3 linked regions of the Sus scrofa genome follow. The protein of the gene in region 1 interacts with the protein of each later gene in a biochemical or structural test. Links are inferred from orthologs where the notes say so. Each region holds a gene or a part of one and is shown in the gene's direction. Other genes may lie near its edges. The genes, in order: ATF4, CREBBP and CREBZF.

Evidence for each region.
Region 2: the proteins of ATF4 (region 1) and CREBBP form a complex in vitro, tested with the Homo sapiens proteins (2 studies listed by BioGRID). The link is inferred for Sus scrofa from reciprocal best matches to the Homo sapiens genes ATF4 and CREBBP.
Region 3: the proteins of ATF4 (region 1) and CREBZF form a complex in vitro, tested with the Homo sapiens proteins (2 studies listed by IntAct, with this or other methods). The link is inferred for Sus scrofa from reciprocal best matches to the Homo sapiens genes ATF4 and CREBZF.

What each region holds. Positions count from the first base shown.
Region 1 is NC_010447.5:8,742,834-8,747,067, reverse strand, and holds ATF4 (cyclic AMP-dependent transcription factor ATF-4), read left to right. Parts: upstream 1-1,315; 5' UTR 1,316-2,214; intron 2,215-2,786; 5' UTR 2,787-2,878; coding exon 2,879-3,104; intron 3,105-3,200; coding exon 3,201-4,060; 3' UTR 4,061-4,104; downstream 4,105-4,234. UniProt on the Homo sapiens protein: Transcription factor that binds the cAMP response element (CRE) (consensus: 5'-GTGACGT[AC][AG]-3') and displays two biological functions, as regulator of metabolic and redox processes under normal cellular conditions, and as master transcription factor during integrated stress response (ISR).
Region 2 is NC_010445.4:38,482,308-38,485,936, forward strand, and holds part of CREBBP (CREB-binding protein), read left to right. Parts: intron 1-872; coding exon 873-975; intron 976-1,240; coding exon 1,241-1,387; intron 1,388-2,472; coding exon 2,473-2,590; intron 2,591-3,276; coding exon 3,277-3,448; intron 3,449-3,629. UniProt on the Homo sapiens protein: Acetylates histones, giving a specific tag for transcriptional activation. Mediates acetylation of histone H3 at 'Lys-18' and 'Lys-27' (H3K18ac and H3K27ac, respectively).
Region 3 is NC_010451.4:19,592,201-19,596,371, reverse strand, and holds the start of CREBZF (CREB/ATF bZIP transcription factor), read left to right. Parts: upstream 1-1,257; 5' UTR 1,258-1,570; coding exon 1,571-2,631; coding exon of another isoform or gene 2,632-2,635; exon of another isoform or gene 2,636-2,848; coding exon 2,849-2,864; 3' UTR 2,865-2,926; intron 2,927-3,999; 3' UTR 4,000-4,068; exon of another isoform or gene 4,069-4,171.

The sequences.
Region 1 (4,234 bases):
TTGGAAGACTTGGGTAGTGGCTCGGGGGTAGTGGCTCGGGATTCTTACTGTCTTTGCACCAAAAGACCAGATGCCTTGTACATGTTTCCAGAGAATTGAGATTCCCCAAGGGGAAAGAAAAACCATACCTAGTATCCAGTATGCTTTCCTAGACCAGCTGTTTATAGTTGTTGATTTCATCTCAGTAAATAACAGTCCTCTGAGGGAGCAGGATATGATGGGGATGGGAGGTGGGTTAGAAGACCTGCGTTCTAGTCACAGGAGTAATGGCAACCATTTATCCAGCACTTACCAGGTACCAGGCGCACGGCTCAGTGCTGTGAATATATTATCTTAACTTCATTCTAAGGATGAGGATACCCATCATTAGCCTCGTTTTACAGATCAGGAAACGAAGACTCAGTGGGGGTAAGTCACTTAACCAGAATGTCTCCACTAATAAATGGGAAAGCCAAGATTTTTTGGAATTGGCCCTTAAATCTGTCATAACTCCTACCCCATACTGCCCACACCAGGCAAGACATGTCATGCCTTTAGTCATCAGCTTACCACTGTAAAGAAATGGTTGGGCTAGACTGACTCAAATCAATGAATGGTTAGTTGTTATGTAGGAAGTGCCTGACCAATTTTTGACCTCACTGTCCTCATAGAAATAATATTTGTAGGGCCCACTGAAATGAAGGGGAGTGGAAACTCAAGGTTTCCCTACAGGGCCTGATTGGAGGACTGGAAGATGGTGAAAGAGCTTTCTCCTAGCTCTTGACAGTTCCCCAGTAGAGAGGGCAAGTTACTGGCCCTAACCTGGACTGTGGCCTCCAAACACACAAATTCCCCTAAGTGGGCAGGTCTGATCAAGCACCCAGGCAGTAGGACTTGCTGGGAAGTGGTTATGCCGCGGAGTTACAGAGTTGGTAAATAATTGAAACTACCCTAGAGTGAGAAAGAGCAGCTAAATAAAATACCTCATTTTTAGGGGAAGTGAAACTACATAAACTGAAAGAAGTTCCCCTGTCATAGGTTTCATTCTTTAACATAAAAGGAAACTTGTATTTTAGCAGAATGGATATGTAAAAATACAATTGTTTAGACCACAGGATTATGGATTTCCTCCACTCGACTCGCCTCTACAGAGTTGAGTCAGGACGCAGAGCAGGCCTTTGATGGTAGGTGGATCTCAGCTGAGGTCATCAGTCTCCCCTTCCAGTTACTGAAGGGTTCACACGTCCTCAGTATTCTGCAAGTGTGTGCAAGTGAAAACAGACGAAATAACATTTACTCTTGACTAGTTTCACATTCGGGCCTAAACCCGGTCCCTAGTTCGGAGCTTCTCCAAGGGCGGCAGGAAAGGACCACGAGGATTCGGACCTAACGCCACTATTTGGATCTGGGCCAGGGCTGCCCGGGGCAATCAAGGCCAGCTGGGTGGGCGGGGCTGAGGGAGCCTTTGCAGAGCGGCGCTACGGCGAGCAGGACGCCGGGGCCCGGCGGCGGGAACCTCACCCACCTTCCCGCGCAGATCAGGGGCTCCCTCGCTGAACAACCCGCCCGCCTCGGAGCCTGAGCCAATAGAAACTCGATGTATATATGACTCACCATGCCTAACCAATCATTTCGACGCGCGCTCTCCGCCAGTAGCTCGCGCGATAACCAGGAGACCTCGTACTTCACAATAAAAGCCCTTCTTGGGGTGAAAGACTCGTCTCCGCCTCTCGGGCTAGCACCGGAAGTAGCTGTGCAAGATCCTTCCGCGCATCCCGGCAGCGGACGGTGGTGATCCTTAGATCTCAAAAGCCTTGTAAAGTAGTGCGCCCTTTTTTGAGGCTGTAAATAAAAGTAACTCATTTGGTCCTCACAGTTTCGCCCTCGACATAAAAGTCAGAGACTGGAAATGGTAGGGGCGTCGGTTAAATGAAAGCGCGTGGGTGGGAGGCGCTGGTCACGTGACCTAGGCGGAAGAATATTCTCTGTGATGCGTCCCACAGAGGCAGAGTCTATAAAGGACCCGCGCTCGGCGAACCGCCGCCATTTCTTTTCCTCTCCGCTGTAGATGTAGTCCTTTTCTGCGAGTGGGCGCTTTTCTTCCTCCGCTCCCGCAGGGTCCGCGGCCGCCATGGCGTATTAGAGGCAGCAGTGCCTGCGGCAGCATTGGCCTTTGCAGCGGCGGCAGCAGCACCAGGCTCTGCAGCGGCACCCCCCAGCGGCTTAAGCCATGGCGTAAGTACCGGGGCCCGACGCTCTGGGCCGTGTCCCCCCGGGTCGGTGAAGGGTTCTTGTCTGATGCTGGGGCGCGGTCCGGCGGCGTCGCGGAGGGGGAAGCGGTTTTACGAGCGCCCGGGACGCGTGGCCGCTGATGGGGTGACGCCGAAGCGCCAGCGCCCCTGGGTCGAGAGGCCGCTGCGCTGTTCGGGCGTGGGGCGAAGTCCTCGGTACCTCCGGCCCCGGCCGGGGGGCCGGGGCTCCCCCTGGGGCTCCACGAAACGTGGCAGCAGCCAAGATGGCGGCGGGGCAGGGCGGCGGCCGCGGCGTGAGTCACGGGCGGGCGTGGGCGGGGCCGGACTCGGCCGGGAGGACCGGGCGCCTTCCTCTGGTGGCGGGTCGGGGAACGGCCGGGCGTCCATCTTGCGCCGCCAGGCGGACGCGGGGAAGGTTGGCAGCCGGGGCCAGCGGCCCCCAAGTCTCAACAACCACACGGGGTCGGGATTTGGCCGTCCTGCCCCGGGGGTGGAGAGGCGAAAGGCTCAGACCAGCTGTTCTCTAATGGGGCTTGGTTTCTGGTTCCTGTTAAGGCTTCTCACGGCATTCAGCAGCAGCGTTGCTGTAACCGACAAAGACACCTTCGAATTAAGCACATTCCTCGATTCCATCAAAACTCCGCAACATGGCCGAGATGAGCTTCCTGAGCAGCGAGGTGTTGGTGGGGGACTTGATGTCCCCCTTCGACCCGTCGGGTTTGGGGGCTGAAGAGAGCTTAGGGCTCTTAGACGAATATCTGGAGGTGGCCAAGCACTTCAAACCTCATGGGTTCTCCGGCGACAAAGCTAAGGCGGGCTCCTCCGAATGGCTGGCTGTGGATGGGTTGGTCAGTGCCTCAGACAACAGCAAGGGTGAGTGGGCTTTTCCCTGCCGGTGGGGTCTGGTGATAAAGCCTTGCTGCCGCGTGCATCTGACTCTGGGTTCCGTCCCTCTTAAATCTCTTGCAGAGGATGCTTTCTCCGGGACAGACTGGATGGTGGAGAAAATGGATCTGAAGGAGTTCGACTTCGATGCCCTGTTGGGTATAGATGACCTGGAAACCATGCCAGATGAGCTTTTGGCCACGTTGGATGACACATGTGATCTCTTTGACCCCCCACTCCAGGAGCCCCCGCAGATAGTGAACCCAATTGGCCATCTCCCAGAAAGTTTACCAACAACTGACCAGGTTGCCCCCTTTACGTTCTTGCAAACTCTTCCCCTTTCCCCAGGGGCCCTGTCTTCCACTCCAGATAATTCCTTTAGTTTAGAGATACAGGGTGAAGTGGAAATCTCGGAAGGAGATAGGAAGCCAGACTCCACTACTTACATTACCTTGATTCCTCAATGCATAAAGGAAGAGGATGCCCCCTCAGATAATGACAGTGGCATCTGTATGAGCCCTGACTCCTATCTGGGCTCTCCCCAGCACAGTCCCTCCACCTCCAGGGCCTCTCCAAGTAGGAGCTTGCTCTCTCCCGGGGCCCCTTGTGGTTCTGTCCGGCCCAAACCCTATGATCCTCCTGGAGAGAAGGTGGTAGCAGCAAAAGTAAAGGGTGAGAAACTAGATAAGAAGCTGAAGAAGATGGAGCAGAACAAGACAGCAGCCACTCGGTACCGCCAGAAGAAGAGGGCAGAGCAGGAGGCCCTCACTGGCGAATGTAAAGAGCTGGAAAAGAAGAACGAAGCTCTGAAAGAGAAGGCAGATTCCTTGGCCAAGGAGATTCAGTATCTCAAAGATCTGATAGAAGAGGTCCGCAAGGCACGGGGAAGAAACGCGCCCCCTAGCTGCCGGGCAGGGGTGTGCATGTGCTTGTACATAGGCTAGGGCTTTAGCTGTGTGTTGCAATAAATTATTTTGTAGTGAACGTACTGCTGATGACTGATTTCTTCAGATAAATGTTCCAGTCAATCCCCCCTGGAGCCACTTTTCTCACCAGGGTCAGAAGTAAAGTGCAAACGCTCCGTAATTCCCTCTGCCTCAACTCAGCAGACAATGGGG
Region 2 (3,629 bases), on another chromosome or scaffold:
CAACTCATTGTTGCTTTTTGGAAAACAGTTGCCCTCATGCATCACTTACTCTTGCTAACTGGGCGACTGGGTTGGAGTCCCGGAACCTGGGTACCAGTCTGACCCCACCTCTGCTGATGGCCTGATCGGGACTAGACTGTGCACCTCGCTTTGTCTCAACTTCCTCTTCCTTCACGGTGGATATTGTAGACAAATCGACCTTTTATGTTCTTTGCCTGCACTTAATCTCTATGATTTTATTTTCTGATATGCAAACAAAACCCAAAATATGACAGAAATATGTAAGAGGTCAGTTTACTTGTTTCAATCATGATATTAATGAAGCCAGAATCAAAATGTGAAGCTACAAATGGGTCATTTCTAATTTCTTTTTCCACAGTCATAGAGTACTCATGAGACCAGCTAGCCTCCATAACAATGCCTCGTTTTAGCTGTAAAGTGTCGTGGGAAGGGATCTGCCTGTGAGGTTAACAATTCAATCGCCATTTTTCTGGAACTCCCAGAATTCCTGCCATGGGGTTTATTATTAAAACTCATAAGAATCACTTACTTAAAAAAACAAAGAGTTCCTGTCATGGCGCATCGGAAACGAATCCGACTAGGAACCATGAGGTTGTGGGTTCGATCCCTGGCCTCGCTCAGTGGGTTCAGGATCCGGTGTTGCCGTGAGCTGTGGTGTAGGCCGGCAGCTATAGCGCCGATTAGACCCTTAGCCTGGGAACTTCCATATGCTACGGGTGTGGCCTTAAAAAGACAAAAGACGAAAAAAGAATCACTTATTTATATGTGACTTATTATTTATGTTATCGGGACTTTGATGTGTATATGAGAATTTAGGAGTGTGTTGATTTCTTTTCTTTTTCTCTTTAAAGGAAATAACCCAATGAACATTCCAGCAGGCGGAATAACAACAGATCAGCAGCCACCAAGCTTGATTTCAGAATCAGCTCTTCCAACTTCCCTTGGGGCCACCAAGTAAGACATTTGTTTCAGTTGCCTCCTATCTGAGCGACAGTCAGACATGCAAGTGTGTGAACTCTTGAGTCTTTCTAAATGTGGGGCAGGGGCTATAGTTGGGGCCAGGGAGGGGCCGTCTCCCGTCTCCCTCTGTTCCCTGCTTCCCCCACCCCCCGTCCCCCCGTCCTCCCGTCCTTTCCGTCTTGCCTGTAGAAGAGGTAGTGACGTTGAAAGCCACATGTGGTTGAAGGGCCTGGTCGGCTGAGAGCCCTTCTTCCCTCAGCCCCCTGATGAGCGACGGCGCCACCTCTGGGAACATCGGACCCCTCAGCACTCTACCCTCCGCAGCACCTCCTTCCAGCACTGGCGTTCGGAAAGGCTGGCACGAACACGTCACTCAGGACCTGCGCAGCCATCTAGTACACAAACTGTACGTGGCCACCTCCCGCGTCGTTCACGTGGGATGGAGACATTCTGAGGCCGAGGTGATGGGGCAGTTGAGCGGTTGCGTTGATGTCTGCTTCGGTTCCTTCGTGGTCTCCTGGGCCCCTGGTGATCGTACCCTGGCAGCCAAAGGGAACCACGTGCCTGTTGAGGGGCCGGAGGATCCCACAGACCCTGGGTGGTGTCAGAGCGTCTGCAGCTCTGCCCCGCAGAGGGCCAGACCTGTTTTCTATGCCCCGGCTGCACCAGGGAGCTGGAATTAGCTCAGAAGCATTGCTTTATTTTGTGGCTCAAGATCACAGTTGAGGAGACCCCAGAGAACTGGAGGAATTTGGGCTTCGTCAGTACAAATGGTTTGATAATGCTGTCATGCATGTAACATACAAGAAATTAACAGCTAACTTTCTCCAGCTAGTTAAGTTAAATTGAAGGGGAGATTAATCGACTGGCATTGGAGGGGTTTTTTTCCTTCATTAATTTCATCAAAAAATTTTGGGTTAGAAAAAGGGGGGGGACCACCATATGCCACAGGTGTGGCCCTTAAAGACAGAAAAAAAAATTGCTAATAAATCGTTTAAATATTAGGAATTCAAAATCTTTTTTGGTTTTTTGTCACTGCTCCCGGGGTATATGGAGGTTCCCAGGCTAGGGGTCTAATCAGAGCTGTAGCCACCGGCCTACACCAAAGCCACAGCAACACAGGATCTGGCCTATATCACAGCTCACGGCAACGCCAGATCCTTAACCCACTGAGCGAGGCCAGGGCTCAAACCTGCAACCTCAAGGTTCCTAGTTGGATTCACTTCCGCTGCGCCACAACGGGAACCCCGAAATCATGTTATTCTTGAGATGATGAAGTACTTACTGTTAATAGTAAGATACTGGTGTGTTTGACGTGTAGAGAAGTTAACAGGTCAGGATTCTCTCCAGAGTGACCTCACTGATGTCTTCATATACCGGGCAAGAGGAATTTGGGGATGTCGCTTGGCAGTGTACTGCCACAGAGGCGGTTGGTTGGTTCTCTTTCCATGCCGCTCAGAATGGTAGAAACTGACCCCATTGTCCTTTCAGCGTCCAAGCCATCTTCCCGACCCCTGACCCCGCAGCCCTGAAGGATCGCCGCATGGAGAACCTGGTGGCCTATGCGAAGAAGGTGGAAGGGGACATGTACGAGTCTGCCAACAGCAGGGTAGGTTGCCTTTGGGTCCCGGCACCTGTGGGAGCCGCGGCTGCACCTGTCCAGAAACAGGGACGTCTGTTCGTCTGGGAGACGCGTCACTTGAGGACACTGACCGGGGAGTCTTCTCAGTTAAGACATGAGGTCCCTCCCTGCACAGCTCTTGTCTTGTAACTACCGACTACTGATGTCTCCCCTGCAATAGATAAAACTGCTTTTTCTTTTTTCTTTTCTGTCCTTGGTTGGTTGGTTGGTTTGGCTCCACCCATGGCACAGGGAATTCCCAGGGCAGGGATCAGATCTGAGCCACAGTTGCGACCTAAGCCGCAGCCGTGGCAACACTGGATCCTTTGACCCACTGTGCCAGTTCTGGCGCTGCAGAGACGCCACCCTCCTGGTATGCCATGGCAGGAACTCTGATGAAGTCGTTTTTATCTGTGCATTTACTTGGTGGCGGCCTTGGTTACAGTGCTTGTCCTGTGTCATTGCCGGCGCGAATCCAAGAAGAGGTTCAGCTGTGGACTCACCTGTGATGAGTACCTCGTCCCTGCTGCCTCATACATGCTGTCCCATCCCTGGGTGCTCATGCTCACCTGCGCCAGTGTGCTCAATTGAAACGATCGTCAGTTGGTCAGAACACACGCACGCGCGCAGAGCTTCTTTGTAACGAGTAACTAGTGTGGAGGTTTGCTTTTCAGGATGAGTACTATCACTTATTAGCAGAGAAAATCTACAAGATACAAAAGGAACTAGAAGAAAAACGGAGGTCACGTTTACACAAACAAGGCATCTTGGGGAACCAGCCCGCCTTACCAGCCCCTGGGACGCAGCCCCCTGGCATACCACAGGCCCAGCCCGTGAGACCGCCAAGTAAGGACTGCCTTTCTGGCTCTCCGTCTGCCTCCCCGCTTCTCCTTCTGCATCTGGGATGATTTCTGAGCATGTGGAATCATGTTCCCAGGAAGCCTGTGCTTAGAAAATTGTGGGGGTGGCCGTGGCATGGCCGAGGCCATGGCCTGTGTTTAGAAGTTGAGTCCCCCTGGTGGATGGG
Region 3 (4,171 bases), on another chromosome or scaffold:
CCTGTCAGGCCTGTTTGGCCACCCTATACTGAGAGGCATTCTTGATCACCCAGCCTAATGCCCCTCCTCTAGTTCTTCCAGTTACTTTGTAAGCACCTTCTCTCCATTACATCTTTTTCTGCTTAAAATACTTGAATTGGTTTCTATTTCCTACAACTGAGTATAACCTGGTAAGAACATCCATCTCAAATCAACAGCTAGACACTACAGGTGTTCCTGTTCAAGTTAGGAATAAGACACAGAAGTTAGTTATTAAAAGCATTATTTAACATCAATTTGGAAGTGCTATTTCATTATTAGTCAGTACAATGAAGTGAGTATTGCAAAGAAGATGGCAAAATTGTCATTATGTACAATAAGGTGATATGATTGTCTACCAGGGAAATTTGAATGAATAAGCTAAAAATAAAAACTATCAAGGAAGTTCAGTGGGTGAATCAGTTAAGAATTTAACAAAAAAAATCAACAGCTTTCCTATGTAGCAATGATAACCATTTAGAAAATATAAAAGAAGAAATAATCTAGTCTAGTAGCAAAAAATGCATAAAGTAACTGGGAAAAATAAATTAATAAATTTAATGCAACTTCCACGAAAATTCCAGCTTATTTTTGAACTTGGAAAATGTTATAAAGTTATCTGGAAGAATTAATGTTCAAATATAGATGAAAAATTCTGAGAAAGTATGAAATTCTGGGAGTATGTCTTATCTGCAACTTTGGGATGATTCTGCAAAAAAGAAAAATTGTTTTTACCAACCTTTACATACAGATAAAGCACATTTGACAAAAGGACAATTGTTGAACTGTTAAGTCTGAGTATTGGGTAGTAGTGTTCAATTAGAGTATATACTGCAATATTCTTTTACATACATATTCACATATTGTATATTTGGAAATTTTTAAAATAAAAACTTGGAAAAATTAAATTATATATGAAAGACTTATTTACCTCTCTTTTCTTCCAGTATTCTGTGTTTGAAAAAAATCACATGTTATAACGAAAGGAGAAAAGAATAATTTTCAAGAAGAATCTGATCATCAGGATAATTTTAAATTCATAAATTTGGTGTATCTAAAAGATCATTTCGAATGACAGTGGTTTTACTGCAGATGGAAGCTAGAATACAGGGACTGAGACTTGAGGGCCCAGAGGAGTGGCCACTCCTTAGATAAATCCTAGGTTTGTTGTTATTTTTGCCTCTGTTACTATGACATCACTGGAAATCTGGAGTTACTCCTACTCTCGACCTCACAGAACTCTCGCGATACCAGGCCCTGGTGGAGCGGGAAATGTGGTGGGAGGGGCCGGGCCGAGATCGACCGACTTCCGGCCAGGCCGTTGTCTGGGTGGCGCGGTCGAGTCATCGTTGGGCCTCGCCGCTCCGATCTCCCGTCCCTCCCCCCCCGCCGCAGCGCGGGGGGTCGACCAGCCAAGTGGGGGCGGGAGGTGACTCCGACCTTCCCCTTCACTTCGTTCTGGCCTGCACCCCGGCAACCTGCTCTGGGTCCTTGGGACCCGCGAGGCCCGGTCTGAGGGGCCGGGGCCTACGTGGGCCCGCTGCCGGGCCCCATGAGGCATAGCCTGACCAAACTGCTGGCGGCCTCGGGCAGCGACTCCCCAACCCGCAGCGAGAGCCCGGCGCCGGCCGCGACCTTCTCGCTGCCCCCGGACCTGAGCCGGGCGGCGGCGGAGGACGAGGGGACGGCGGCGGCCGGATCTCCTGGCCGCAAACAGCCTCGCGGAAACGAGGGCGAGTCGGAGGCCGGGAGGGGGGGCCGCGGCGGCGTGGCCGTGCGCGCGCCCTCGCCCGAGGAGATGGAGGAGGAGGCGGTCGCCAGCGTCCCCGGGGACGAAACGGAGGACATGGACTTTCTGTCCGGGCTGGAACTGGCGGATCTGCTGGACCCCCGGCAGCCAGACTGGCACCTGGAGCCCGGGCTCAGCTCGCCCGGGCCTCTCTCCTCGTCCGGCGGAGGCTCGGAGAGCGGTGGCCTGTGGCGAGGGGACGACGACGACGAGGCCGCGGCCGCTGAGATGCAGCGCTTTTCTGACCTGCTGCAGAGGCTGCTAAACGGCATCGGCGGCTGCAGCAGCGGCAGTGACACTGGCGGCGGCGAAAAGAGGCGGAGAAAGTCCCCCGGAGGCGGCGGCGGCAGCAGCGGCGGCAACGACAACAACCAGGCGGCGACAAAGAGTCCCCGGAAGGCGGCGGCGGCGGCCGCTCGTCTGAATCGGCTGAAGAAGAAGGAGTACGTGATGGGGCTGGAGAGCCGAGTCCGGGGTCTGGCAGCCGAGAACCAGGAGCTGCGGGCCGAGAATCGGGAGCTGGGCAAGCGCGTCCAAGCACTGCAGGAGGAGAGTCGCTACCTACGGGCCGTCTTAGCCAACGAGACCGGACTGGCTCGCTTGCTGAGCCGGCTGAGCGGCGTGGGACTGCGGCTGACCACCTCGCTCTTCAGAGACTCGCCCGCCGGGGACCATGACTACGCGCTGCCGGTGGGAAAGCAGCAGCAGGACCTGCTGGAAGAGGACGACTCAGCCGGAGGAGTGTGTCTTCATGTGGACAAGGATAAGGTGTCGGTGGAGTTCTGCTCAGCGTGCGCCCGGAAGGCGTCGTCTTCTCTTAAAATGTAGGGTCAAGTAATCTGCTCTTTATCCGCGTTTACCCCTTTCAACTCCCTTACACCATGTAAAACACCTTAGTGGGACATCTTCACTGGACACATTTCAGAGGAGGAAAAAAAAAAAAAAGTAATATTGAATCTTTAAGTGTTTAGCTAAAAGCATGAATGTGACACTGTAACCAACTCCTAATGATAACATGTGACTATTAAATCTCTCTGACAGTTTCTTTTTTAGGTGATTTCCTTCCTGCCAGGCTCCGTTGTAGGGGTTACAGAACAGTCGTTCCCGCCTCACAACCTGGTAAGGATCCATCTCTTCACGTAACGCTCATGCTCTGCTGCTTAGTCTACTTTAATGGGCAACATCTCAATTCGTGTGTGTGTGTGTGATTTTTTTTTTTTTTCTTTTTTGGAAGGTGGGAGGGGAATCTAATTTGGGCCCTGTCCACCCTGGAAACAGACTTGTGCTGGTCAGTAATGTATTCAAGATGCTTCTTCTGGTTGAAATAGCTGTTAATGTGTCCCCTTGTTCAGACTTGCGTGTACCTAGCTCTTCTGTCCCCAGTGTGGACATGGCCTTGGATGACATCGGTTCCAACTGTACACTGAAAGCTGCTAATAGAGATACAGTTTGGAGACAGTGACACAGGTGAAGTTGAATGGAAGTTCCGAGTTGTACAAGGTGCAAATTGGAATTCCAATTTTAGAGCAACTTTTCAGAGGTTGACAATAAGTACTTGGGGCATGCACAAATGTGATAGTTATTTTGCCGGAGATAACAGAAATCTCTTGAATAATCAAGAATGCCTTTTAGTTTTCTTAGGTCTAGACATACAGTCTATTCAGATTATAGGTTTTTATATCACCATTAGAGAAATTGGAAATTAATGTGCACATCAGACTCCTGTGTTGGTTAATTGAAGGGGGAATAAGCATGGTCAATGGAATGTCTCTTTGAGGACCAGCACAGTGATTATCCTATCACTGAGTATGAATAAATTGTTGAACACCTTTATTTTTGTTGTACTAAAATTTTAGGTTAAATTTATGTATGATTAGCTATTGACGGTTATGAAATGTGAATGAAAACGTGTAAAGTGAGGTTTCACAAAGAATCTTATTTTCCATATTTTAAGTCTTTGACCTATTTAAAAATAAGTTTTGAAATTGAGTGGTTCTGGCTACCTAATGACACAATTGACACTTTTCCCAAAGTTGGGACATAGTCTTCCCTTGAAGTACTCTATTGTCCAGTTGTATGGATTGAGTCACCATGTCCTTCAGTGTAAGAGGCATTAAGAAATTCTTTGTGAAACATCACTGTTTGATAAAGTATATACGTATTTAGCATCCTTGTTTTTCTTTGTGCTAAAGTGGATACAGCTGTTGGGGCAGAAGAGACGGGACCAGCTGCTGGCCACATTTCCTGCTTTATTTTAAAAGGTAGTATAAGAAATGAGGAAAAAGAGGTAATGTCAGGGCTTCTGCTTTTATTTTAAAATGTTCATAATTAAAAAGTATTTTCCAGCAGTCCAAAGATGTAAGT